4 linked regions of the Callithrix jacchus genome follow. The main gene of each other region encodes a partner of the protein of the gene in region 4 in a complex. Links are inferred from orthologs where the notes say so. Each region holds a gene or a part of one and is shown on either strand. Other genes may lie near its edges.

Region 1 (6,293 bases), on a different chromosome or scaffold from region 4:
AAAAAAAAACACACACACACATACATACAGGTAACCTCTGTCAGGGTAATTACTACAGTGATAAGAAGAATGGGCTTAAATGTGAGTGAGAAATGATAAGGTGCAGAGAGCAGGAACAAAAATATCAGCTAACAATCACTGCCCTTACTTTGAGTCAGAGAATGTTCTAAATGCTTCTTGTATATAAGCTCATTGAATCTTTGTTAAATATTTCCATGTAGGTGCATTCCACAGTGGCATGTACCTACAGTCTCAGCTACTTAGGAGGCTCAGGAGAAAGGATCATTTGAGGTCAGGAGTTCAAGGCTGTACTGTACTATGATACCACCTGTGAGAAGCCGGGGCAACACAGCAAGACCCCATCTCTTAAAAAACAAAACACTCCATATTTTTAAAAATCTCTATTGTTTTCTTGGTTTACACAGTGGAAAATAGAGGCAGAGAGGTTAAAACAATTTGCTCAAGATCACATGCTGGATAACAATTAAACTGAAATTTTATCCCAGGCAATCTAACTACCATTGCCATGGTAATCAACTATTCTTTTCAAAATTGGCAGTAAAGGAAGAACAGTGAAACAAAATGTATTGAGTTTTTACTACATGACAGGTAAATTTTGAACTTGAAACAGTAGTTTTTGTTTTGTTTTAGCTTTAAAGAGACAAGAGAGTTGCATGCAGCATGAAGTCTAAGAGAAAGGAAGCACTAGAGCAGGGTTTCCCAGCTGCCACACGGGTGTCAGCTGGGGCTGGATCAGTCTTGGTTATGGGAGTCTGCCCTGTGCACTGTGAGATGTTCAGCAGCATCTCCGTCATTCACCTGCTAGATGCCAGTAGCACCCCTTCCTCCCAAATAAAAACATCTGCAACCATCACCAAATTCCTAGGGGGTAAAACTGTCCCTGGTTTAGAACACCAGATGAAAGTAGGAGAGGACCTCGGAAAGAGCAAGTTCTGGAGGACATAATGGGACCCAAAGAGCAAACTAATGTCCATATAAAGTGGCAATAATTTTGTTAATGATTAAACACAAAATTAATTACCTTTATGTCCGGATCTAACAGCTGGTTCTTCAGCAACTCAAAGTCATTTGTTTCACCCTTAACAAGACGGGGAAAGAATTAAGTTATGTTTGCTTTTGTTTCCTGTTTAGTATCAACAGGACTTTTAGCCATAGTTTAACATCAGATGAAATTATAAAAGGAACACTAACTTTCACACATCAGCCATAATGATCTAATTCAGGAAGATCTAAGAAAGTATGCACTCAAATGTGGATACAAATGGATATTACGTATACACATCCAGTCATTTCCCTCTACTGCTGAGATTTAGCAGAAATGCTTCTAACCTACCACAAAAACAAAAATATCTATTCCGAGAACTGGCTTACCGTCCCAAAGTTGTATTAAGTTCCTCAAAAAAAATAAAATGCTGTAATTGTTTTTAACTCTAGCACTTGCTAAAGTTAAAAGATGCTATGTAAGTAAAGCATGTGAAAAGGTGAAACCTCAGAACACATTATTACTCTCACCTATGAAATGGGCCACGGTGGAGGGGAAAAAAAGGACATTACTACTTTAATTTTGAACTGCCAGCATCAAACTATTATGAAATATTTGATTTCAACTGGTATCTAAACTCATCTTACATTTCTATTGGTCTTCAGTATAACAGCAATAGTTGTATTCTGACCTGACCAAAAGCAAATTTCATACATTACCTCCTCTTACCTTTTTGTACTTCAGCAAGACTTCTGTCACGGTTCCACCAAACCGAACAGTTTTTCTTGGGGGAGAATTGAAAAAATCGTTTTCTAATGCAAGCATACTTGAAATCCTGTGGAACCAAGATTAACAAGCTATTAAGTTCATGAAAATAATAAGAATTGTAATAGCCAACATTTATTGAGCCAACATCATTCAATGAGGCTGTTTTTAAGGGCTCTTTACTGCTCTCCCTGCTTCCACTTTTCTCCAACAATCCCTCCTTTGCTCAGCAACCAAAAACTGTCTTCCCACTGCACTTATACTAAAAATCCAAATTTCTTAGTGTGGTCTTTAAGGTCCTACATTAATCTGGCCCCTGCCTACGTCTCTGACCCTATCTATCTCCCAATAACTTGTTTTACTACAGCCATAATGTCTTTCCTGCTCTTCAAATATGTCAAGCTGGTTCTCATTTCACTTACTGTTCACTCTATTGGAAATACTCTTTTCCCAAATCTATATGGCTGGATTTTTGTTTGTCTGTTTTTTGCTTTTGAGACGGAGTCTTTCTCTGTTACCCAGGCTAGAGTGCAGTGCGGTGATCTCCACTTACTGCAACCTCCATCTCCTGGGTTCAAGCACTTCTCCTGCTTCAGCCTCCCACAAAGCTGGGATTACAGGCACCCACCACCATGCCTGGCTGATTTTTGTATTTTTAGTAGATATGGAGTTTTGCCATGTTGGCCAGGCTGGTCTTGAACTCCTGACCTCAGATGATCCACCTGCACCTTGGCCTCCCAAAGTGGCTGGATTACAGGAGTAAGCCACCACACCAGGCCTGGATTTTTGCCTTCATTCAAGTTGAAGCTCAAATGTCAGATGTTTTCCCCACGAGAAATATCAAATATTCATTTTCTCCCTTCTCCCTCCCCTATTACCCTGTTGTACAACTGAAATCATCGTGTTCATTTGTTTACTGGTCTCTGTACTGCCTTCCCCCCCGCCCCAGGCTGTAAGCTCTGTAGAAAGCAGGGACATTCGTGTCTTTGGATAAACTACTCGTCCCCAGTATTTAATACAGTAAGCAGGAGCTCAAGAAATATTATGAATCAGGCCGGGCGCAGTGGCTCACGCCTGTAATCCCAGCACTTTGGGAGGTCGAGGCGGGTGGATCAAGAGATCAAGAGATCGAGACCATCCTGGTCAAGGTGAAACCCTGTCTCTACTAAAAATACAAAAATTAGCTGGGCATGGTGGTGCGCGCCTGTAGTCCCAGCTACTCGGGAGGCTGAGGCAGGAGAATTGCTTGAACCCAGGAGGCAGAGGTTGCGGTGAGCCGAGATCGCACCACTGCACTCCAGCCTGGGTAACAAGAGCGAAACTATCTCAAAAAAAAAGAAAAGAAAGAATCTTATTACGCTAAATGTTTTACAAGGTCTTCACTTGCACAGAGTAAATAAATGAAAAAACACAGCATCTTAATGACTCTGAAAGTTAAATGCCAACTGTGCTATGTGGGTTAGGGATTTTAAAAGTGGAACAAAATAAAGACTGCTAAACAAGTTATGTGTCGAAACAAATTTCAAACCAAAAAAATTGTAATATTTTATTAGCCATGACTGACAACATTGAGCGGATAAACCAAACAGCCCAGAGATTCCCTTCCAAGAAGCGGGAAGGAAGAGGCGTCAAGGCGCAGAAAGCAGTACCCAGGCCTGGGAAACCACCAAGAAACATATAGTAGGGAAAGGGGGCCAGAACAGAGAATATACTTACTTTTCCAGCCCCCTCCTATGTCTATTACCCACTTAGAGGAATGAGCTCACTCCTGCGAACGTGAGATGGCCCTCGATCCCCTGCTCCTACCTAACCATTAGCTTTGTCCCAGACCCTTTCAATCTGCTCCCCAACGCCGTGTCCTGAGCTTTGGTCCGGACGCGCAGAAGGAAGCGGCCTGGATCTTACCCGGTCCTCGACGTGCCCAGCGTGTTGACCGTAGAGGCCGAAGCGGCCGTATCTCCCGGCAACCGCGTGTGAAGCAGCGGCGCCGCCATTGGGCCGAACCAACGCGACTTCAGCACCTCCCGCCGGATGCGCGGTGCCTTCCAGCCCTCTGTCCCGGAAGTCGCGCGAGCCAGCGCAACCTTCAGCCAATCAGAGCCCCCGCTTGGGGAGAGTGAATACTCTCGGCGGGCTAGAGCGCCGCCAAAGTCATCCCCTCATTCTACTTGGAGGACTTGTACCGCCCAACGAGAAAGCGGGAGTGTAGAGACTTGAACTGCCGGCTCCATCCAGCCCTGAGGATTCCAAAGAAAGGGTGAAAGCACCCTGGAGGTGTTAAGCTGTGGCCGAGTACACGCGATTGTTAATGTTTTGGAGTCAAAGCGTCCGTCAGTCTAATCGAAGAAGCTGAAGCCCTGTGATTAACCCAGATCCTCACGGAGGAAACGGGATTCAAACCCCGCTGACCCAGGAGCCTGGGCTCTCTACTCGATGCAGCATCCTCACAGATACTCAAGATAACGTTATCTTCACGGAAACGAGGTCGACGAAGTGACCTTCCCCAAAGCCTCAAGGCTGTGATGATGCTGGAATGAGAAATAACAGGAGTTTCCAAATGTCACCCCTTGACCTTTTTTTTTTTTTTTTTTTTTTTTTTTTTCCTTTTCCAGATCGAGTCTTGCTCTGTTGCCCAGACTGGAGTGCAGTGGCGTGATCCAGCTCACTGCAGCCTCCGCCTTCCTGGTTCAAGCAATTCTCGTGCCTCAGTCTCCTGGGTAGCTGGCATTACAGGCGCATGCCACCACACCCGGCTAATTTTTGTATTTTTAGTAGAGACCAGGTTTCACTATGTTGTTCAGGCCGGTCTCAAATTCCTGACCTCAGGTGATCCACCTGCCTCGGCCTCCCAAAGTGCTGGGATTACAAGCATGAGCCACTGTGCCAGGCCAAACTTAAGCTTTTAAAAGAGAATCACGAATTAGGCCCACCAACAAAATAGCAATGGATGTTCTAAGCAGAGGAAACAGCAGAGGCCAAGACCTAGGGACTGTGGGGGATGTAGAGGGAGAACAGGGGCTGCCCCTACCCTCTGGGAGGGGAAGAGTTTGCAACTTTGGAAAGTGTACAGGCCTATCAAAAATACCCAGCCTGCGGCCAGGCGTGGTGGCTCATGCCTGTAATCCCAGCACTTTGGGAGGCCGAGGCGGGTGGATCACGAGGTCAAGAGATGAGACCATCCTGGTCAACGAGGTGAAACCCCATCTCTACTAAAAATACAAAAATTAGCTGGGCATGGTGGTGCATGCCTGTAGTCCCAGCTACTCTGGAGGCTGAGGCAGGAAAATTGCTCGAACTCAGAAGGCAGAGGTTGCAGTGAGCCAAGATCGTGCCATTGCACTCCAGTCTGGGTAACAACAGCGAAACTCCGTCTCAAAAAAAAAAAAAGAAAAGAAATACCCAGCCTGGATGACACAGTGAAAGCTCATCTCTATAAAAAATTTTAAAAATGAAAAATAATAAAAATTATATGGGTGTGGTGGCACACACCTATGGTCCCAGCTACTTGGGAGGCTGAGGATTGCTTAAGCCCAAGAGATAGCACCACTGCACTCCCACCTGGGAAACAGAGCAAGACCCCATCTAGAAATAAATAAATTTAATTAATTAATCAATTTTTTAAAAAAATGTATATGAGTGGGCCAAGCCCAGTGGCTCATGCCTCTTATCCCAGCACTTTAAGAGGCCAAAACAGGTGGATCACCTGAGGCCAGGAGTTTGAGACCAGCCTGGCCAACATGATGAAACCCTGTCTCTACTAAAAATACAAAATTAGCCAGGCGTGGTGGCGGCACCTGTAATCCCAGCTACCTGGGAAGCTGAGGCAGGAGGATTGCTTGAACCTCGGAGGCAGAGGTTGCAGTGAGCCGAGATCAGGACACTGTACTCCTGTTTGGGCGAGAAAAGCAAAACTTCATCTCAAAAAAAAAACTGTGTGTGTGTGTGTGTGTGTGTGTGGTGTATCTCCAGGAGTTCAAGACCAGCCTAGGCAACATAGGGTGGCACATACCTGTAGTCCGAGCTACTCAGAAGCTGAGGCGGGGGGATTGCTTAAGCTCTGGAGTTCAAGGCTACAGTGAGCTATGATTGCACCACTGTACTCCAGCCTGGGCGATAGAGCTATACCCTATTTCACAAAATAAAACACAGCGATTTGGTTTGGTTTTTTTTAAGATGAAGTATTGTTCTGTCACCCAGGCTGGAGTGCAGTGTCATGATATCGGCTCACTACAACCTCCATCTCCTGAGTTCAAGCAATTCTTGTGCCTCAGCTTCCCCAGTAGCTAGGATTACAGGCATTTGTCACCACATCCAGCTAATTTTCGTATTTTTAGTAGAGATGGGGTTTTACCATGTTGGCCAGGCTAGACTGGTCTTGAACTCTTGACCTCAAGTGATTTGCCCACTTTGGACTCCCAAAATGCTGGGATTACAGGCATGAACCACCTTGCTGAGCCAGCAATTTGTTAAGCAAGAACCATAGTTCTGTTTTGTAACAGTGTAAAATCAGTAGGTGTCAGTCTTG
Region 2 (6,231 bases), on a different chromosome or scaffold from region 4:
AGCAAAAAGCAGAAAAAAGGTAATTAACACCGCAGTCTCAAAGGAAAAATATAGATGTTAAGAACACTAGGATATTAACAAAAAATTAAAAATAAATTTAAAAAAAGAACACTAGGATATGCAAAAAAGTCTATGTAAAAGGTTCTCTCTGGGTATGGAATGACAGGGTTTTTTTTCTTCTTCACATTCTCTTCCGCATTTCAAATTACTTACAAACAGCACATATTGTTTTAATAAGATTTTAAGGAAAAGACACACACACACACACACACACACAGCCTAATAGTATAATCACTTAATGCTGCATTTGGTTCCTCCATACTTTAACAGGGAGATGACCAGTTTCTCTTCTGGACCACTAGGCCAGGAGGGCCTGACAAAGGGCAGTCTACAATTCAGACTGGAAACTGCTCTAATAACCATTTCTTTCTAGTTCCCACCTATGTCTGAGGTGCCTAAGGAGAAGGACCCAACAGAGGAAGCAGAAGCATAACTCAAAGTCTCAGAACAGGGAGGGGGAAAACAATCCTCACAAGATCATGTAACTTACAGGCGTGTTGCCGCTTCAGTAGAAGTTTCGTCTCCCTCAATCCTGTATACTTTCCCATACATTACATACTCAAATTGGTCAGCCCTATGGAGCAAGAGTAGCAAAGTTATTCTTAACAGTAATTAACAATATAAAAGATGCCATTTAAAAATGGTAACTGGTAACTCGATGCCAGCATTTTAACAACAGGCACATTATAAACATGACGCCATTTAGTCCTCACAGCAATTCTGTGAGCTAGGCAGGACCATCTCTAGTTTACTGATGAGGAAACAGGCTGAAGGAGATCAAGCTTACTTAGCAAGTAAGTGGTAGAGCTCAGAAATCAACTCGAGCGGGGTGCCAAAGCCTTTCCATTACACCAAACTCCCTCCCAAGACACAAGACCCACAGAGCGGTCATCTTCTCAGCCTTCAAAAAGCTACAACTCACAAGCATGTAATCACTGTTATAAATACCTGGTTGTTTGAAATTTTTTATCTTTTTTTTTTTTTTGAGACAGGGTCTTGCTCTGTTGCTCAGGCTGGAGTGCAGTAGCATGATCGTGGCTCACTGCAGCCTCAATCTCCCTGGCTCAGGCAATCCTCCCACCTTGGCTTCCCAGGTAGCTGGAACTACAGGCACATGCCACCATGGTCAGCTTTTTTTTTTTTTTGTAGCAGTGAGGTTTCACTATGTTGCTCAGGTTGCTCTTGAACTCCTGGACTCAAGCAATCCTCCTGACTCAGCCTCCCAAAGTGCTTGAATTACATGTGTGAGCCATAGTACCTGGTCTGTTTGAATTCTTAAGTGCAGAAATTTCCTTAAGGTTACTCAGATTCTGCTAATCATTATTTATTCTAGGAATTAAAGAAGAGTCTTTCGTTTTTCTTTTTTTTGGAGACAGAGTCTTGTTCTGTTGCCCAGCCTGGAACTCAGTGGTCCAATCTCTGCTCACTGCAACCTCTGCTTCCTGGGTTCAAGCAATTCTCCTGCCTCAGCCTCCTGAGTAGCTGGGACTATGCAGGTGCCCACCACCATGCCCAATTAATTTTTTGTATTTTAGTAGAGACGCGGTTTCACCATGTTGCCCAGGCTGGTCTCAAACTCCTGACCTCATGATCCACCTCCCAAAGTGCTGGGATTACAGGCATGAACCACTGTGCCCCGCCAGAAGAGTCTTTCTATATCACTTATCTACTTAGTCCTCAGGGCATATTTCAAGTATCACCTTCTCCACTCCCTCACCTGGAAGGCCTGTCATCAGTGGGGTTATATTCACCATCATCCAGGGTGCCATCTTCATACAAGGTACTAGCTATGACCAACCGGAACTTGTCACCTAAAAATAACAGCAATATCAGAGAGTGAAGAATAGCTGAAGCAGCAAATAGCCTCTTATTATTGTCTGTGTTCAATACTTACCCAAGTCTACAGGGTAAATTTGAATGTTTACATCTAAGATGAGATCCATCTTGAAAGATTCACTCTCACAATGTAGCCGAGACACTGGGGAAAAGTGGAAAAAGAGTAAGAGAGGTATTGCCAGGCCCAGGGAAGATCCTACAGTGTGGGATTGTATGCAACAGAATACTCAATCTAACCCAGCCTACATCCACTGGTCTCTCATGTCCTCTAAGGCAGGCTCAGTCAGACCCAGATATGCAAGGAGGAAATCAGGAGAAAAACTGTGGCAAGTGAACGTAATCCCCAGAAAACAACTAAAGATACTCCAGCAGCAAATAATATCCAGGTTCTAGGCCTGCCTGGATGGCTGAGAACCTGACTCTGGGCAAGTTATTGAATCATCCAAAGGTTTCCTCTTTCTGTGCTAGGCACTGTGCTGAGGGGGTTATCAAGATGTATAATGACTGGTATCCATCTTGAAAAACATCTGAGTCTCTAGGCAAAGAAACAGACACCAAAGAGAAAATTATTGATCAATGACAAAATAAAGAAATGGAGACTAGGCGCGGTGGCTCACACCTGTCATCCCAGCACTGTGGGAGGTTAACGCAGGTGGATCACTGGAGGTCAGGAGTTGGAGACCAGCCTGGCCAACATGGTGAAACCCCATCTCTACCAAAAATACAAAAACGAGCTGGGTGTGGTGGCAGGCACCTGTAATCCCAGCTACTTGGGAGGCTGAGGCAAGAGAATTGCTTGAATCCAGAAGGCAGAGGTTGCAGTAAGCCGAGATCACACCATTGCACTCCAGTCAGTGTGAGTGACAAAGTGAGACGCCATCTCAAAAAAAAAAAAAGGAGTCTTCATGAGGTGGGTGGTGCCTTCCCTGTTTTTCTCTGAGAGTTTGAGTAACTCACCCAAGGCTGCACAGCAAGTAATCTAACTTCAGAGTCTATATTCTTGTATCGCTCTCAGAATCTTTAGCGCTTAGTGAAGTCTTTTCTGAGAGTTAACTAGTTAACTGCTTAGCGTATATATATATAATTTTTTTTTTTTTTTTAATGGAGTCTGGCTCTGCCGCCCAGGCTGGAGTGTAGTGGCTCGATCTTGGCTCACCACAACTTTAGCCTCCTGGGTTCAAGCGATTCTCCCGCCTCAGCCTACCGAGTAGCTGGGATTACAGGCGCGCCACCACCACACCCGGCTCATTTTTGTATTTTTAGTAGAGACAGGGTTTCACCATGATGGCCAGGCAGGTCTCGAACTCCTGACCTCAAGTGATCCACCCGCCTCAGCCTCCCAAAGTCCTGGGATTACAGGCGTGAGTCATCGCGCCCGGCCGAGGTCTCTTAAGAATAAGTAAGGCAAAGGGTGTATGAGCCGCACAAGACAGTGTCTAGCACAGAGTAGGCAGCGATTATAAAGATGCTCAGGAGTTTGCCAGCACTATGACAAAAGGCCATCCAGACACCCAGCACGGCATGCGTGAAGCCAGAGAGCTGAGTCTCCGTTTTCTCATTCATAAAGTGTTTCCTGAGGGAGGTCCCTACATCAGGACCTGCTGGTAGGAGCAGGCCACAAGAGCTGGGTGGGCATGGGGCCCAGGGACATGTCCGCGAGGTTAGCGTCTTCCTCCAAACCTCGTACCTTACTTACCTCGGTCAAACTTCTTGCCCTCTGGGTCAATATCCTTCACATCGAAAATATCCTCAAACAGGATGCCCGCCATCGCAAGTGGGCCAGGAGAGCAGCAGAAGGGGTTAACGCGCGACCACGGCTGGGAGTACGCGCACCCCCTCGCGTGGAGAAGGGAGATGAGCAAAAGCACCTCCAGAAAGGCGGCAGCTAGACAAGAGTAGCGCATGCGCACAAACAGGCGGTAACGCGACCACTTCCGCCACAATCTTCCTCTCGGGGCTACCTAACTTCCTCCCCGAAAGACTGTTTCCGAGAGGCTTCGGCATTGAGGGCGGGTCTCACGGCCAGGTGGCTCCGCCCAGGGCGGGGAAACAATAGGTCCAACCTCCCGCGGCTGTAGAGCGGCTTCTGCTACGCTGGGGCTTTACTGCGCGCTCTTCAGAGTCTGAGTCCAGAAGATTGGAATGCGTGGGGGCCTAACCCAGGCAGGGACCTTGATCCTTGGCCCAGAGCGGCCAGGCCCTAGCCCTATCCCGCCGGTCCTCGTGCCCGCCAAGGGCACAGTCCTCGCCGAGGGCAGGTGGAGAAGAACCCCGCCCCAGAGGTGCCCAGCCCCTCCAGGAGACACCAAGGACGCCGGGGCCGGCCTGGGCCGGCTGGGCCCTTCTGGATGTAACCTGAGCCGGATCCGTCCAGTTTGGGAATTTGCCATGACGTCGCTTTGGAGAAATGGAAAGGCTGCATGGTCCCCTCCCCTCATACGGCACCCCACGACACTGCCCTCTTCCCCCAGGCCCTGGTTTTCCCGCGCACCGCCCCTTCAGCCTGGCTCCCGCCCCCTGGGCACTCCCCCTCCAGCTTGGTACTCTGCGTTCCCGTTTACTGGACACGGATCCCCTCCGTACCCCTTCGGCCTAGCACTGCCCTCTCCCTTGAATACCAGCTCTTCCCTCGCACTGGCCCTTCCTCCTGGGTGGCGGCTTCTCTCCCAGGGCCCCCCCCCCTCCCCGGGCACTGCCCCCGCCCCCCGAGCCCCGCCTCTGCCTCCCAAATAGCCCTTCCTTCTGGTACTACTGGCTCTCCCGCACCCTGTCCGCGTCCTGGGCGCCGCCCCCGCTCCTCTCACACTGTCGCTCAGCTGCCCGTCCACCCTGCGCGCGCTCCGCCCTCTTTTCTATCCTTCCCTGGCCCCTGACAGAGAACCCCGAGCACCAGCAGACCGTTCCCCGAAAGCGGAGGGACAGCAGCAGCGACTCGGGTTCCTCCTTGAGCCCAGCCAGGGAGAAGCGACCTCTGCTCTCCACGCCCGCGTTCCGGGCGTGGACTCCCGGCCCGTGGAGCTCCCCTCCTCCGGCCTACCCCTTCCGGGGCCCTCCCAACCTCCACCCCCGCACACCCCGCAGGCCGGGTTGCTCCGGGTGCACCTCCCTGGGGCAGCCCCGGGAAAGGAAGGAGTAAGGAAGACGGCCCCGATCCGCCCCGAATCCTCCCAGCTTTGCTGCTCACCCCTGACAGGCCTGTCAGAGCTGCAAGTCCCTTGGGACGGGGAGAGGGGAAGCGGCTTCTAACCGGCTGACCCGGAGGCGTCCGATGTAGATCACTCAGCACCCCCATCCCTGAGCCCTGCGGAGCTCGGGCATCTGCAGCCCCTCCTGCCCGGACGCAGGGAACCGCCAACCCGGCCCGGCCCCTCCACGTGCCCGCGGACCCGCCCCTGCCCGGCCCCGGGCGCCCCTCTCCTTCCCCGGCCTCCGCAGGGAGCCGGCGCGGGCTCCAGACTGCTCAGCGCCCCCTACCGCCTCTCGGGAGGCCCCGCGCGGACCCCGGCCTGGCTGGGCCGGCCCCTCCGGATGGGCTGGCGGGCGGAGCAGCGCAGAGGGCACCACCCTCGGCCCGCCCGCCGAGGAGGGGACAGGAGCCGGAGGCTGCGCCTGCGGCGCCCGCTCCGGGCCCGCCGCACTCTGCTCTCGGTCTCCCGGGCTGCGGGGACGGGACGGCCGCCGGCGCTGACTCTGCGGGCCGGAAGCCGAGTAGAGGGCAGAGCCCGAGCCCCGGAGGGAGGCGAGAGGGCAGTGCAGGGAGATGGCGTCGGCCGCGGCAGCGGAGGAGGGGATGGAGCCGCGGGCGCTGCAGTACGAGCAGACCCTGGTAAGTGAAGCCGAGCCCAGCCCGCGGAGTGCGCTCCGGGACCGCTGCTCCAGGTTACCCTCGGCAGCGCGAGGACCGAGGGCCTATCTGAATCCCGTCCCAGCCTTTTGAGCTGGGGAAACTGAGGCTCGGAAGTCCGAGGCTGCGGGGCCGAAGGGATGGAAAGATGCATGCTGGCTTCTCGCTGAGGCTGAGGGCCTACAGAGGACAAGGACACCAGGTACTTGTCTCAGGTGCCCTTCCCTTCACCCCCCAACACACACGTTTTCTTTGCTTCTCCCCTCATCACCTGGGCCTGAGTCTCAGCACCCACTGCCCCTTCCGCGGCACCATTCACACCATTGAACTTTCTCCACGCCACTGTCTCCGCCACCCAAGACATTCCCTGTGTCCCTGGCATGCGCCTGGCACCGTTCTAAGCATAGAATCCAGTGTGTAGTAAGAGGGTCAGCCCCAGCCCCTACCTCTGAGGGCTCCACACCCAGCGTTGGCAGGAGTCCTTCTGTTGA
Region 3 (6,327 bases), about 83 Mb from region 4:
AAAAGCCAGGTGCAGTGGCTCACACCTGTAATCCCAATATTTGGGAAACTGAGGCAGGGGACTACTTGAGCCCAGGAGTTCGAGACCAGCCTGGGCCACATAGGGAGACCTTGTCTCTACAAAGAAATAAAAATAAAAAAATTAGCTGGCCATAGTGGTGTGTGCCTGTGGTCCCAGCTACTTGAGAAGTTGAGGTGGGAGGATCACTTCAGTCTGGAAGGTCGAGGCTGCAGTGAGCTATAATCATGCCACTTCATTCCAGCCTGGGTGACAAAGTAGATCTTGTCTCAAAAAAAAAAAGAATGGAGTATTAGTTTAAAAAAAGAAAGATTACAGGATTTGCTTTCTCAAGACACAGCTGCACTATTTAGATCTAAATACAGTGAATTGTTGTCATTCACAATGTTATGTTCTATACAGTTGCCATAAACACTGAATTAGCCAATACTGAACCACTGCTCCTAGGGTAAATACATGGGTAGCTTCCTGTAAGCCTCTGGTCACATTTCATCAACTAATCAACACACAATCTCGCATTATGTATGTTTCTGTTTAAAGGCAGCCTATTTAATATATATTACTGAGTCCCTAACTCAGGCTTGAAAAAAGCCTATGTTAAATGCATGTATTAATATTATCCCCAAAAGGCACAGCTTGTGGGATAGGAACTTTATACAGAACTTTAATACTTTGCTTGGGGGCCATTTTAAACAATAAAATCCCCAACAAAAAGCACAAAGAAGGCACTAAATAATAGTGAAGATGACCCCTGTTTATAGTTTATAAACTTAAAACAAGAAGGCCGAGCATCACCTTGTTGGATCTCAGCTGGAAAAATGGATACTGAACAACTCAACTTTTTCACTGCTTCTGGGCACGGTGCTTTTGCAGTACAAGTAAATTTTAGTGAGTGGGTAAATTTGCAAAGATAGACTCCCCAAGTAATAAAAATCAATTGTATTTTGAAAATATTTTGAAAAGACAGACCCATAAATTCTGACTCACAAGAGGAATTCACTCCAAAGAAAGTAGGCAAAATTACATTTTGTAAGTACATAAAAATATGATAAAACTTTTTTTTCCCCTTGGCTTTATAAATAGTAGTCATTTACTTTACTGTGTTTTACAGAACATTTTCAAATATGTTATTATTACAGTCCTAGATAAGTTGTGACATTATTTTCTGTGCAGGGCCAAATTTTCTTCATCTACTTCAACCAAAACAATGTATCACAAGGAGCTGAATGCAGAAGCAGACATGAGAATCCAGCTGTCTTTTCATTAAGCCAGACATTAAAAAGATTTTTAATAATGCAATTCATCTAATTTCTTTTTTGCTCTGAAAAATGATTTTCATAAAAATGTTAACATACAATTGGTTTATTTTTATTTCTGTTTATTTATTTATTTTTGAGACAGAGCCTTGCTCTGTCGCCCAGGCTGGAGTGCAGTGGTGCAATCTTAGCTTACTGCAACCTCCACTTCCAGGGTTCAAGCGGTTCTCGTGCCTCGGCCTCCCAAGTAGCTGGGAATACAGACATGTGCCACCATGCCCGGCTAATTTTTGTATTTTTAGTAGAGACAGGGTTTCACTGTGTTGACCAGGCTGGTCTGGAACTCTTGATTGACCTCAAGTGATCCGCCTGCCTCAGCCTCACAAAGTGCTGGGATTACAGGCAAAAGCCACCACACCCAATCAATTGGTTTATTGATTGATTGATTGATTGATTTTTGAGATGGAGTTTCACTTTTGCTACCCAGGCTGGAGTGCAATGGCGCGATCTAGGCTCACCGCAACCTCCGCCTCCTGGGTTCAGGCAATTCTCCTGCCTCAGCCTCCTGAGTAGCTGGGATTACAGGCATGTGCCACCATGCTCAGCTAATTTTTTGTATCTTTAGTAGAGACGGGGTTTCACCATTTTGACCAGGATGGTCTCGATCTCTTGACCTCGTGATCAACCTGCCTCGGCCTCCCAAAGTGCTGGGATTACAGGCGTGAGCCACTGCGCCCGGCCCGAATTAGTGCTTTTCTAAAATTTCTCAATTTGATTATCTTTTTTTTAAAGACAAGGTCTCGCTCTGTTACCCCAGCTGGAGTGCAGTGGCACAATCATAGCTCATTGCAGCCTTGAATTCCTGGGCTCAAGTTAGCCTCCCACCTCAGCCTCCTAAGTAACTGGGACCACATGTGCCCACCACCATGCCCTGCTATCTTTTAACTTTTACAGAGGACGAGGTTTCACTATGTTACCCAAGCTGGTCTTGAAATCCTGGCTCAAGCCATCGTTCTGCCTCGGCCTCCGAAAGTCCTGGGATTACAGGTGTGAGCCACTGTACCTGGTCTAATTAACTTTTAATTAGGTATTTTTTCTCACAGACATGATACTCTAAGAATCCAGGCACAATACATACAAATATCCCCACCACTCTTGTCTTCCCAAAAAATAAATTTTAATGCCTCCCGTATTATTTGCGGAATAGAGTTCAAGTATCAGACTGGCAATCAAAGCTCTTCACATTATCTCTACCCGTATCTCTCACAACACAAATCTTACACAACAAAACCACAGGTAGGGTCCCCTAAGCATGTGACTCTGCTCTACTCTTCCCCTGGACGGAATGCATGTTTCTCACCTCTTGAACTCATCTAATCCTGCCTTTTCTCAAACTCCTGGACTAGTTGCGCTGCCTATATGCTCCCACAGTAGCCCATAAAATCCCTTGACAGAGCAGTGCTCGCGTATTGGCATGGACTACTTTCCTATCTTCACTCCTTTAACCCCAAAACACGACAGGGACCACTTAAATGTATGAACTGTCTCTTACACGGGACTGCGGCCTTCACATCCTCAGAGCCTAGTGCCTAGAGACACTGGGGATACTTACTAAACGAAACTTTCCCCCACCATCCTCACCTCAATTCTGCTACCATTACCCTACGCTAGTAATGCTATTACACTTTTCGATTCAATCTTGCCTTTACGACTCATTTATACCTTCTTTAGCACCTACTTAATTCAGAACAAATGAGTAGTTTCTCTCTTTAAAGCTCTAAGAAAAGGAAACTGAAGGATAACCTTGTACATTACACTGTACCTACAAATACGTTCAGAATATTTTGAGGTACGTTTTGGAGAGGTGTCTTCAAGTGATACAAAGGCATGTGCATTGTGAATGGTTGGGAAGCACACCCCCAATAAGCCATTTCCTCACTCTCACAGAACCCAGAAACTATCCAACAAGAAACTATGGTTCGCAATCACTTTTCAATCCAGAAATCACGAATACATCTCTTAGACGACTCGAATACACGTTCCACGAGGCCCAGCTCTGCGTCTTGTTCAACACGTGTGCTCTCCCGCTTACCCTCTGAGCCTGTCAGGATCAAGGAGCAAACGCATTTTGGGTCACACTGTGGCCTCTGAGCCATTTCTCTGGGACCCTGTCACCGCCCGCGCCCCACAAGGCCCAGACCTCACCCCCGCCCCTCCCTCCTCCAGCTCCGCCTGGCCCCTCTCGCCCGCCAGCCTCGAGCTTGGTCTCTCCGCGGCAAGGGCGCCAGTGGATGCCGCACTCACCTGCACCGCGAGGCCGAGACCCTCGTGCACAGCATAGTTGAAGGACTCCACATGAGCCCGCGTCAGCTCCTGCAACGCTGCCTTTTGCTGTTCCCGCGGGATTCCATAAGACGGGTCGGTCAAGTGCTTTAGGCTAGGCCCATTGGGAAGGTTTCGCCACCGGCTGCAGGGATCCATGCGGCTACTTGCACACCTAACACCCGTCGCTCAGTACGCGCCGGAAGTAGTGGCCGGAGTCCCGCTTCCGCAGCCTGCTGGGAAATGTAGTTCCCTCTTGTTCCGCCCGCCCTAGGCCCTACGGTTTTTATGGGGTCGACGTAGAACCAAAACCGTCGAGTGAACGGGCCGGTTAAAGCTGTATCCAGCCAGAGCGTGGCGGGTCCGCCCCTTCTCCCATCTTCCGCTCCACGCATCTCCCTCCTCTGCTAAAGAAGGCGAAACCCACTCCTCACCCAGTTGAGCGTGTGACCTCTTTGGCTCTCATTGGCTCAGTCAATTAGGATTGGAGGTAAGCGGTCTTCTCAGGTTCCCATCTATCCGGTCCCTTAACCTGTTCCAAGTCCCACGCTGATGCCGACCCTGGGGAGTCATCCGGACAAAGTCGTTGTTTCAATGAAAAATCGGATGCCGGGCCCCGGGCTCTTTACCCAACTCCTAAATCGCGAGGCTCACCCCTGGAAGGCCAAGGTCGGGCCCGCTAACCTCCCCGCATCGTCTGGACTGGAGTCCTGGGGGAGGCCCGGGGAAGGAGGTGGGGTAGGGGTCGGGCGGTCTCAGATGGAGAGGCTGTGGTAGGGGGGCGTCCAACATTTAGTACAATGTTGAAGGGACAAGAATAAATATACTTGTTTTGTGCCTGATGTTGGAAGAAAGCTCCCAACTGGAGCATTCACATCACCATTAATATGATGTAGGCTGTGGGTTTTTCCAAAGATGCTCTTTATCAAGTTGAGAAAGTAATTTATTTCTAGTTTGTTGAGAGGTTTTCTTCCCAAGAGTGTTATTGCCAAATGCTTTTTCAGTGTATATTGAAATGATCATGTGCTTTTTGCTCCTTTTTTCTACTAAAGTGGTATATTAAGTAAATTTTGTAAGTTAAACAAGCTTTGCATTCTTTTTTCCCCTTCTCAACGTTTATTTTAGAATCAGGGGTACCTGTGCAAGTTTGTTACAAATGTATATTGCGTGATGCTGAGGTCTGGGACACGGTTGAACCTGTCACCCAAGTTCCAATAGGTAGTTTTGTATCCAATAAGTAGTTTTAAACCTTTGCTCCCCTGCTTCTCTCACTGCTCTAGTAGTCCCCAGTGTCTGCTGTTCCATCTTTATGTCCATGTGTACCCAATGTTTAGCTTCCACTTTTTAATTTAATTTTTTTTTGAGACAGGGTCTTGCTCTGCCACCCAGGCTGGAGAGTAGTGGTATGAACTTGGCTCACTGCAACCTCCTTTTCTCAAGTTCAAGTGATTCTTGTGCCTCAGCCATCAGAGTAGCTGGGATTACAGGTATGCGCCACCATGCCCAGCTAATTCTTGTATTTTTAATAAAGATGAGATTTAACCACGTTGCCCAGACTGGACTCAAACTCTTGGCCTCATGTGATCTGCCCACCTTGGCCTCCTAAAGTACTGAGATTACAGGTGTGAGCCATCACCCCCAGCCTAGCTCCCACTTACAAAAGAACATGTGTTATTCCAAACATTGTAATCTTAGGATAAGTCATAATGTATAATCCTTTTCCTATGTTCCTGGATTTGGTTGACTAGTATTTTGTTGAAGATTTTTTCTATTTGTATTCCTAAGAGACTATTGGTATGCTATTTACTTTTCTTGTGACATCTTTGTCTGGTTTTAGTATCAGAGTATTAAGAGTGAAGTCATAAAGTTAGCTGAGGATTATTTCCTTCTCTTCTATTTTTTAGGAAAGTCTGTGAAATATTGGTGTTAATTCCTTGCCATCTGGTCCTGGGCTTTTCCCTGTGGGAAGTTTTAAAGGAATTATTATTAGTCGGGCCAGGCACGACTAATAATACACCTGCAATCCCAACACTTTGGGAGGCTGAGATGAGAGGATCACGAGGTCAGGAGATTGAGACCATTGTGGCTAACACGGTGAAACCCCGTCTCTACTAAAAATACAAAAAATTAGCCAGGTGTGGTGGTGCACACCTCTAGTCCCAGCTACTCGGGAGGCTGAGGCAGGAGAACCACTTGAACCTGGGAGGCAGAGTTTGCAGAGGCAGAGCTGAGATTGTGCCACTGTACTCCAGCCTGGGCGACAGAGCGAGACTCCGTCTCAGGAAAAAAAAAAAAAAAAAAAAAGATTTTCATGCTTTGTAGGTAAAAAAGGAAAAAAAAAAGGAATTGTTATTAGTCTGACCTTCTTACTTGTATATTTCTTCATTAATACAGAAATTAACAAAATTTGTTATTGATTTCTGATTTTATTCCAACATAGAAAACATGTATAGTACGACTTCAATTCTTTTAAATTTACTGAGACTTGTTTTTATAGCCTAGCACATGATCTACCCCAGAGAATGTTCCATGTGCACTTGAGAAGGATGTGTATTTTGCTGCTGTTGGGTGGAGTGCCTTGCAGATATTTGTCAAGTCTAGTTGGTTTATTGTATTTTTCTATTTTGTTGTTGATCTGCCTAGTTTCTCCAGTTATTACTGAAATGGAGTTTTGAGGATTCCAACTATTGTAGTTAAATTGCCTGTTTCTTCCTTCAGTTCTCTCAGTTTT
Region 4 (5,756 bases):
AGTGTTTTTGGATCTTTCTTTCAGTTAGATGGGAGTCACTGGAGGTTTTGAGAGGAGGAGATCGGTATTATCCCCACTTTTACAACTGGGCCTGCACAGCTGTAGAGATGGTGAGTAACCTTCCTGTAATGAGCAAGTGGTAGAGCTGGGATGGAAATGGCCCGATTCTATGATTCTATAGCAAGTTCTTTTAGCACTGGACAATTTCCTCTTAGGATATTTCCATGTTAATATGGGGATGAGAGTGCGTTAAAAATAGTCTCAATGAGAAAAGCCTTTATGCTTTTATTTTTCACAGTTAATTACTGAGAACTTTAGTCAGGGAATATTAGTCTAGTCCTTTTAACAGGAAGACACGGAAAGATAAAGTAACTTCAGAGTCACAAAACTGTTTTATTGAACGGCCTTTTTGCTATTATTAGATAAAACTGAACTAAAACTTAAAATAGGCAAGGAGGAAAAAATTTTATGGCATAGCCAGAGTCTGTTTCGTTTTTCCCCTCAATATTTATCATAAAAAATTTCAAACATACCGCAAAGTTGAAAGAATTTTACAGTAAACACCAATATACCCCACTGATTATCTCTGTAATTTCTGATCCATATACTCCTCTCTACAGCTATTAAAACACTACAGAAGGGAAGTGGGAAAAACACTCTCTTATTAAAAAAGAATCTTCTCTTCTAGTGGCCTTGGAAAACATACTTCCTGAATTACCTTTTTATCTACCTAGGACTCAGGATAATGACTTATTTTTCTCAAGTATTCAAAAAATACTTTTTGAGTTGATTTTCAGTACAATTAAAGAAAAAACAAACATGCTCTGGGGAGTAATATGTTCTTCACTACCTACTGCCTGAGGAAATTTCCTGAGTCATATAAAAATAAACAGCTGGGCGCAGTGGCTCACACCTGTAATCCCAGCACTTTGGGAAGCTGAGGCAGGAGGACTGCTTGAGTCTAGGCATTTGAGACCAACCTGGGCAACACAGGGAGACCCTCGTCTCTGCAAAAGATAAAAACTTAGCCGGGTGTGGTGGTGCACACCTGTAGTTCCAGCTACTTGGGAGGCTGAGGTGGGATGACTGATTAAGCCCCGGAAGTTGAGGCTGCACTGAGCCATTATCGTGCCACTGCACTCCAGCTGGGGTGACAGAGCAAGACCCTGTCTCAAAAAAAAAAAAAAAAAAAAGAAAAGAGAGAAAATAAATGACCTACAAACAATAATTTATACTGTATTATTCCAATATCTACCTTTTATGGGGAATATAAAACTCTTCAGAAAAAGTAAAGCAAAAATGAGGCAGCCTATTACTAAGCCAGAAGTCTCAGAGCCAGTGTGCCAAAGAGCTGACAATTAATTAAACCTGATGAAAGTCAAAAGCCTGTGTGTCTTACTATTTAGACATACAGGTTTTCCACTATGTTCTATATAGATTCCTCTCCTCATGCAGCTTCCCATCTTTAATCCTACTTTATCCAGACTCAATAATCATAAAAGCACATGTTGTTTTCTAGACTTCACATACCCACACCCAACAGATATGAGGACAGAACATAATACATGGAATCAGGGGGACAAAGGTTAATGAGGATCAGGGTATTTGACTGGCCATGTATCTCCCTGCAGATTTTTTATTAGTTGTAAGGGGAAACATAGTAACTACACTGTGGAAATCCAACGCACCACCTTGATCACTATTAACATGTGAGGGGCAAATGCATCCCCGGTCTCTACATGCCATACTCTGAAAAGTGATACCCTGAGGACGCAGCACTTGTTTTGGCCAAGGATGCGGAACCAAACACGAGGAACCACCACAACCGTCCTGAGAAACATGCTCTGACATCACTGACATTCTGAAAACTACAGGCCACTGTCATGAAAGACAAAGAAAGGCTGACGGACAATCAGACGAAAGGAGACCAAAGAGATAGAATCAATCAATGTCATACCTACTCCTGAACTTGATCCTGCTATAAAAGGACACGGGGGGACTACTGGCAAAATTGGAATGTGGACTATAGGTGAGATAAATGTATAGTATCAATATTAGGTTTCCTGAGTTTGATTGCTGGGGTCACTTAAGAGAATATCCTTATTTTTAGGAAATGCTTAAGGAAGTATTAAGAGGTAGAAAGACATGAGAAAGGTAACTGACTCAGCGAAGTGTTAACTGAAAAATGTAGCGTATTCTCCTGATCAACATTTACGGCCACTTCTATTGCCAGCCTGCCACAGTACTGGTTAATTTAGCTACTGTGAACAGTTTGTGCTAACTGCCCTGTATCCTCTTTCTTGATTTTTACCAGATTTCCTAGAACTCTTACTCAAGACTCAATGTATAATTCTGATTTTTGTGACTAAGCTCACCAGCTTCTAATTCCAACAAAAAACCTATCTGGCTCTTACACACTTAATTACTTAAATTATATGTAGCTTTTTCTAAAAGCATTGATTACCATCTGCAGAACTTCTGTGTACTGAGCCAGTATAATGAATTCTTGGTTAGCAGTGACTGGCCTTTCTCTTTCAGGACTCCCTGGAGGCTGTGTCCATGGAAACAAGTTCTCTCAGTGTCTTCTTCAGTCCAGTTGAACTGAAAACTTGAAGGGCTTTTTTTTCCAGCAGTTGGTGTTGAATCAACTAGTGTGCTAAATTGTTTCTGTAAATTCACCACCATTTCTGGAAATGGAGAAAAGAAGGAAACAAATCACAAAGCCTGGAGTTTACTTGATAGCAATGTACCGATACTGGTTCCTTAGTTTTGGCAAATGTACCGTGGTAATGTGATGGGATACCGTTAATGGAAAATGAAACTGCATGAGGTGCATGGGGGACACTACTTAAAAAATGGTTTATCACATATATTTTACTCAATTAAAAAAAAAAGAATGTACAATCTAAATGGCATTCTATAAGCAAAGAATTCCCAAAGTCATAGCGATTTAGGACTTGAGATTTTTGTCAGGAACTGAGGCTGTGTTTTGAAGCACAGCGTGTTCCTGAAATAGATTCCTGCAGAGATTTCTTGCAGAGCATGGTGCTCCTTTGGATGTATACATGCCCTGAAACAGTTGTTTTAGAAAAGTAAAAAGCTTAAGCATTCACATTTCAAGTCCAGATATTTAATTTTTCTACAACTGTGTTGATACTTGGTATTAACAAGACAAAATATGACTCACCTCTTTTTTTATACGCTACTGGTTTGTCGACATATGAGTAGTAGAGTGGCTTTTCACTTTTCCACAGGTACCTGTACAAGGTAAAGAAACAGCTGGAGCAGGATGGAGATGAAACAGACCTAAACACATTTCAGAGAGCGGTTTGTCTGAAGCACTCTCTGAGATTCCTGATCTTTAGGTACAATTCTGGCTTAGAATGGCCAGTTGGCACATATCTATATTGTCTATTGAACTTGGGCCCTACAAGGAAGCACTGACTAAGAGTCCAGGCCAAGAGAATAGTGTGCTCCTCCCAAAAGCCGCCCAGATGCTGTGAGATATGAAGAAGTTATTAATTATACAAAAAACATAGAAATCGTTTCCTTCACCATAAATTTCCCTTGCTGCTCATTCTCATAAAGTGAAGCCACCTCAGAAACAACTGTTCCTCCTTGCCTTTCCTCCAATGCCTTTTGGCCAAGAGTTAAGTTAGTAGTACTTCTGATTCAGATAACTTACACAGAGTGAACAGTAAATACATCTCTCTGGCACCTGATGCCAGCAAATCTTTTCTATTCCTGGAGTAAGGAGAGGAAAAGACTGAATTCCAGGATGATACAGTCCCAATAGTCCCTGCCCTGACTCAGCTTATTATTGCCAAAGGAAGGGCAGCCAGGAAGTTTCCATTGTGAAACGGGGATCCTGGATGGCTATGGTTCTTGGGGTTCCCTCCAGGACAAACACTAAGGTTCCTACAGATTAGGGTGATCAGTCCTAGACTAAGGCCGAAAGGAAGTGACATATTCTATTTCTGGTTCTCGTGGCTGTTGCTAAACTGCCAAGCAGAAATTGCTGCTCTGGAACAAAGATAACAATGTTCATTTTTAAGTCTCATTTTCACCACTTCTGTGTTCCCTAGAGCAGAGGAGTTTCATAATGTGTAATAAAAAAAAATCGCCACGTGCAGTGGCTCATGCCTGTAATCCCAGCACTTTGGGAGGCTCAGGCAGGTACATCACCTGAAGCTGGGAGTTCGAGACCAGCTTAACCAACATGGAGAAACCTCGTCTCTGCTAAAAATACAAAATTAGCCAGGTGTGGTGGCACATGCCTGTAATCCCAGCTACTTGGGAGGCTGAGGCAGGAGAATCGCTTGAACCTGGGAGGTGGAGGTTGCAGTGAACCAAGATGGCACCATTGCACTCTAGCCTGGGCAACAAGAGCAAAAACTCCCATCTCAAAAAAAAAAAAAAATCCACCTTCTTTTTGATCCTATGCCCCTTTCTTATTTTGAAAGATACTGTGGCAACAAGAAAGAGTACTGAATCAGAAGACCTGGCTCCACCACTTTCTAGTGGCATGACCTTGAATGACAAATTATGGAGGTTCTCAAAGGCAGAGACTGTCTCAGCCATCCTTATGTCCCTAGTGTTATCAGGGAATGGTAGATAGTAGAAACTCATTTAAACATTTGTTGAAGAATTGGATGAATAAATGAACAATGAATTTAGCATCTCATCTCTAAACTTATCCTCTGCTTTCACAGGGTTGTTCTGAGGAATAATTAAGATAACGTATATATGGGTGCTTTAAATCCTATACAATAATTAGAATTATTAGTTAGTGCTTGACAAAGTGCCTGGCTAGTAGACTCAAGAAATATTTGTGTACTTTCTACAAAAGAAGATTACAAATAGGAAGCCAGAAATGCAAGTATTTTTAAAATCTGTAGTATTTATAATAATTACTCATTTATTTTTAATACTAGGAAGTAATACGTATATAAAAATACACTTTTTAAAAAAATTTTATTTAATTTTAATTTTAAGACAGAGTCTCTCTGTCACTAGGCTGGAGTGCAGGGGCACGTTCTAGGTTCACTGCAACCTTCGACTCCCTGGTTCAAGTGATTCTCCTGCCTCAGCCTCCTGAGTAGCTGAGATTACAGGTAGGCGCCACCATGCCCAGATAATTTTTTGTAGTTTTCTTTTTTTTAGTGGGGGGAGGGGTTCACCATGTTGGCCAAGATGGTCTTGATCTCCCGACCTAGTGATCCACCTGCCTTGGCCTCCCAAAGTGCTGAGATTACAGGCGTGAGCCACCACCACGCCTGGCCAAAAGCACACATTTTAACAATATTTTAGTAATATCATTTAGCAAATCATCATTTTAACCAATTTAAGAACTGATTTTTTTTCAAGGATTTTAAAAAATACTTGATCAAGTCAGCAAAATCATGACTATACATAAAACAGATGTTGACTTTTTATTTTAAATTTCTGCAATGATTTTAAATGTTAAGAACAGAAAGGACATTTTTCTAATAATCAGTTACAGCAGAAATGTAAGTAATATTACACAGGAGATGGTCTTCCTGAAAATTGTGTGAATCTAAACTTCAGTGAACCATACCACATTTAAAATATATCACAGAGTTTGTCATTTAACTCTATGGTAAATGAGTCAGTGATTCTTTAAAATATATTTTTCGTTATTAATTTCCTTTTCTTTTCTTTTTTTTGAGATGGAGTCTCGCTCTGTTGCCCAGGCTGGAGTGCAATGGCGTGATCTCGGCTCACTGGAACCTCCG

The links. Proteins that work in one complex are often made in the same cells at the same time.
Region 1: TAF1B (region 4) and RRN3 share a complex: the UniProt entries of both Homo sapiens proteins name them as parts of the pol I pre-initiation complex. The link is inferred for Callithrix jacchus from reciprocal best matches to the Homo sapiens genes TAF1B and RRN3.
Region 2: TAF1B (region 4) and POLR2H share a complex: the UniProt entries of both Homo sapiens proteins name them as parts of the pol I pre-initiation complex. The link is inferred for Callithrix jacchus from reciprocal best matches to the Homo sapiens genes TAF1B and POLR2H.
Region 3: TAF1B (region 4) and POLR1B share a complex: the UniProt entries of both Homo sapiens proteins name them as parts of the pol I pre-initiation complex. The link is inferred for Callithrix jacchus from reciprocal best matches to the Homo sapiens genes TAF1B and POLR1B.

What each region holds. Positions count from the first base shown.
Region 1 is NC_133513.1:13,150,888-13,157,180, reverse strand, and holds the start of RRN3 (RNA polymerase I-specific transcription initiation factor RRN3), read right to left. Parts: upstream 3,788-6,293; 5' UTR 3,763-3,787; coding exon 3,674-3,762; intron 1,839-3,673; coding exon 1,733-1,838; intron 1,100-1,732; coding exon 1,043-1,099; intron 1-1,042. UniProt on the Homo sapiens protein: Required for efficient transcription initiation by RNA polymerase I (Pol I). Required for the formation of the competent pre-initiation complex (PIC).
Region 2 is NC_133516.1:13,339,437-13,345,667, reverse strand, and holds the start of POLR2H (DNA-directed RNA polymerases I, II, and III subunit RPABC3), read right to left. Parts: upstream 3,788-6,231; 5' UTR 3,666-3,787; coding exon 3,593-3,665; intron 2,039-3,592; coding exon 1,955-2,038; intron 1,872-1,954; coding exon 1,778-1,871; intron 635-1,777; coding exon 551-634; intron 1-550. Other genes in the region: CLCN2 (chloride channel protein 2), read left to right, coding at 5,657-5,722. UniProt on the Homo sapiens protein: DNA-dependent RNA polymerase catalyzes the transcription of DNA into RNA using the four ribonucleoside triphosphates as substrates.
Region 3 is NC_133515.1:22,054,091-22,060,417, forward strand, and holds the start of POLR1B (DNA-directed RNA polymerase I subunit RPA2), read right to left. Parts: upstream 3,788-6,327; 5' UTR 3,756-3,787; coding exon 3,579-3,755; intron 1-3,578. UniProt on the Homo sapiens protein: Catalytic core component of RNA polymerase I (Pol I), a DNA-dependent RNA polymerase which synthesizes ribosomal RNA precursors using the four ribonucleoside triphosphates as substrates.
Region 4 is NC_133515.1:105,060,730-105,066,485, forward strand, and holds part of TAF1B (TATA box-binding protein-associated factor RNA polymerase I subunit B), read right to left. Parts: intron 3,259-5,756; coding exon 3,188-3,258; intron 2,688-3,187; coding exon 2,465-2,687; intron 1-2,464. UniProt on the Homo sapiens protein: Component of RNA polymerase I core factor complex that acts as a GTF2B/TFIIB-like factor and plays a key role in multiple steps during transcription initiation such as pre-initiation complex (PIC) assembly and postpolymerase recruitment events in polymerase I (Pol I) transcription.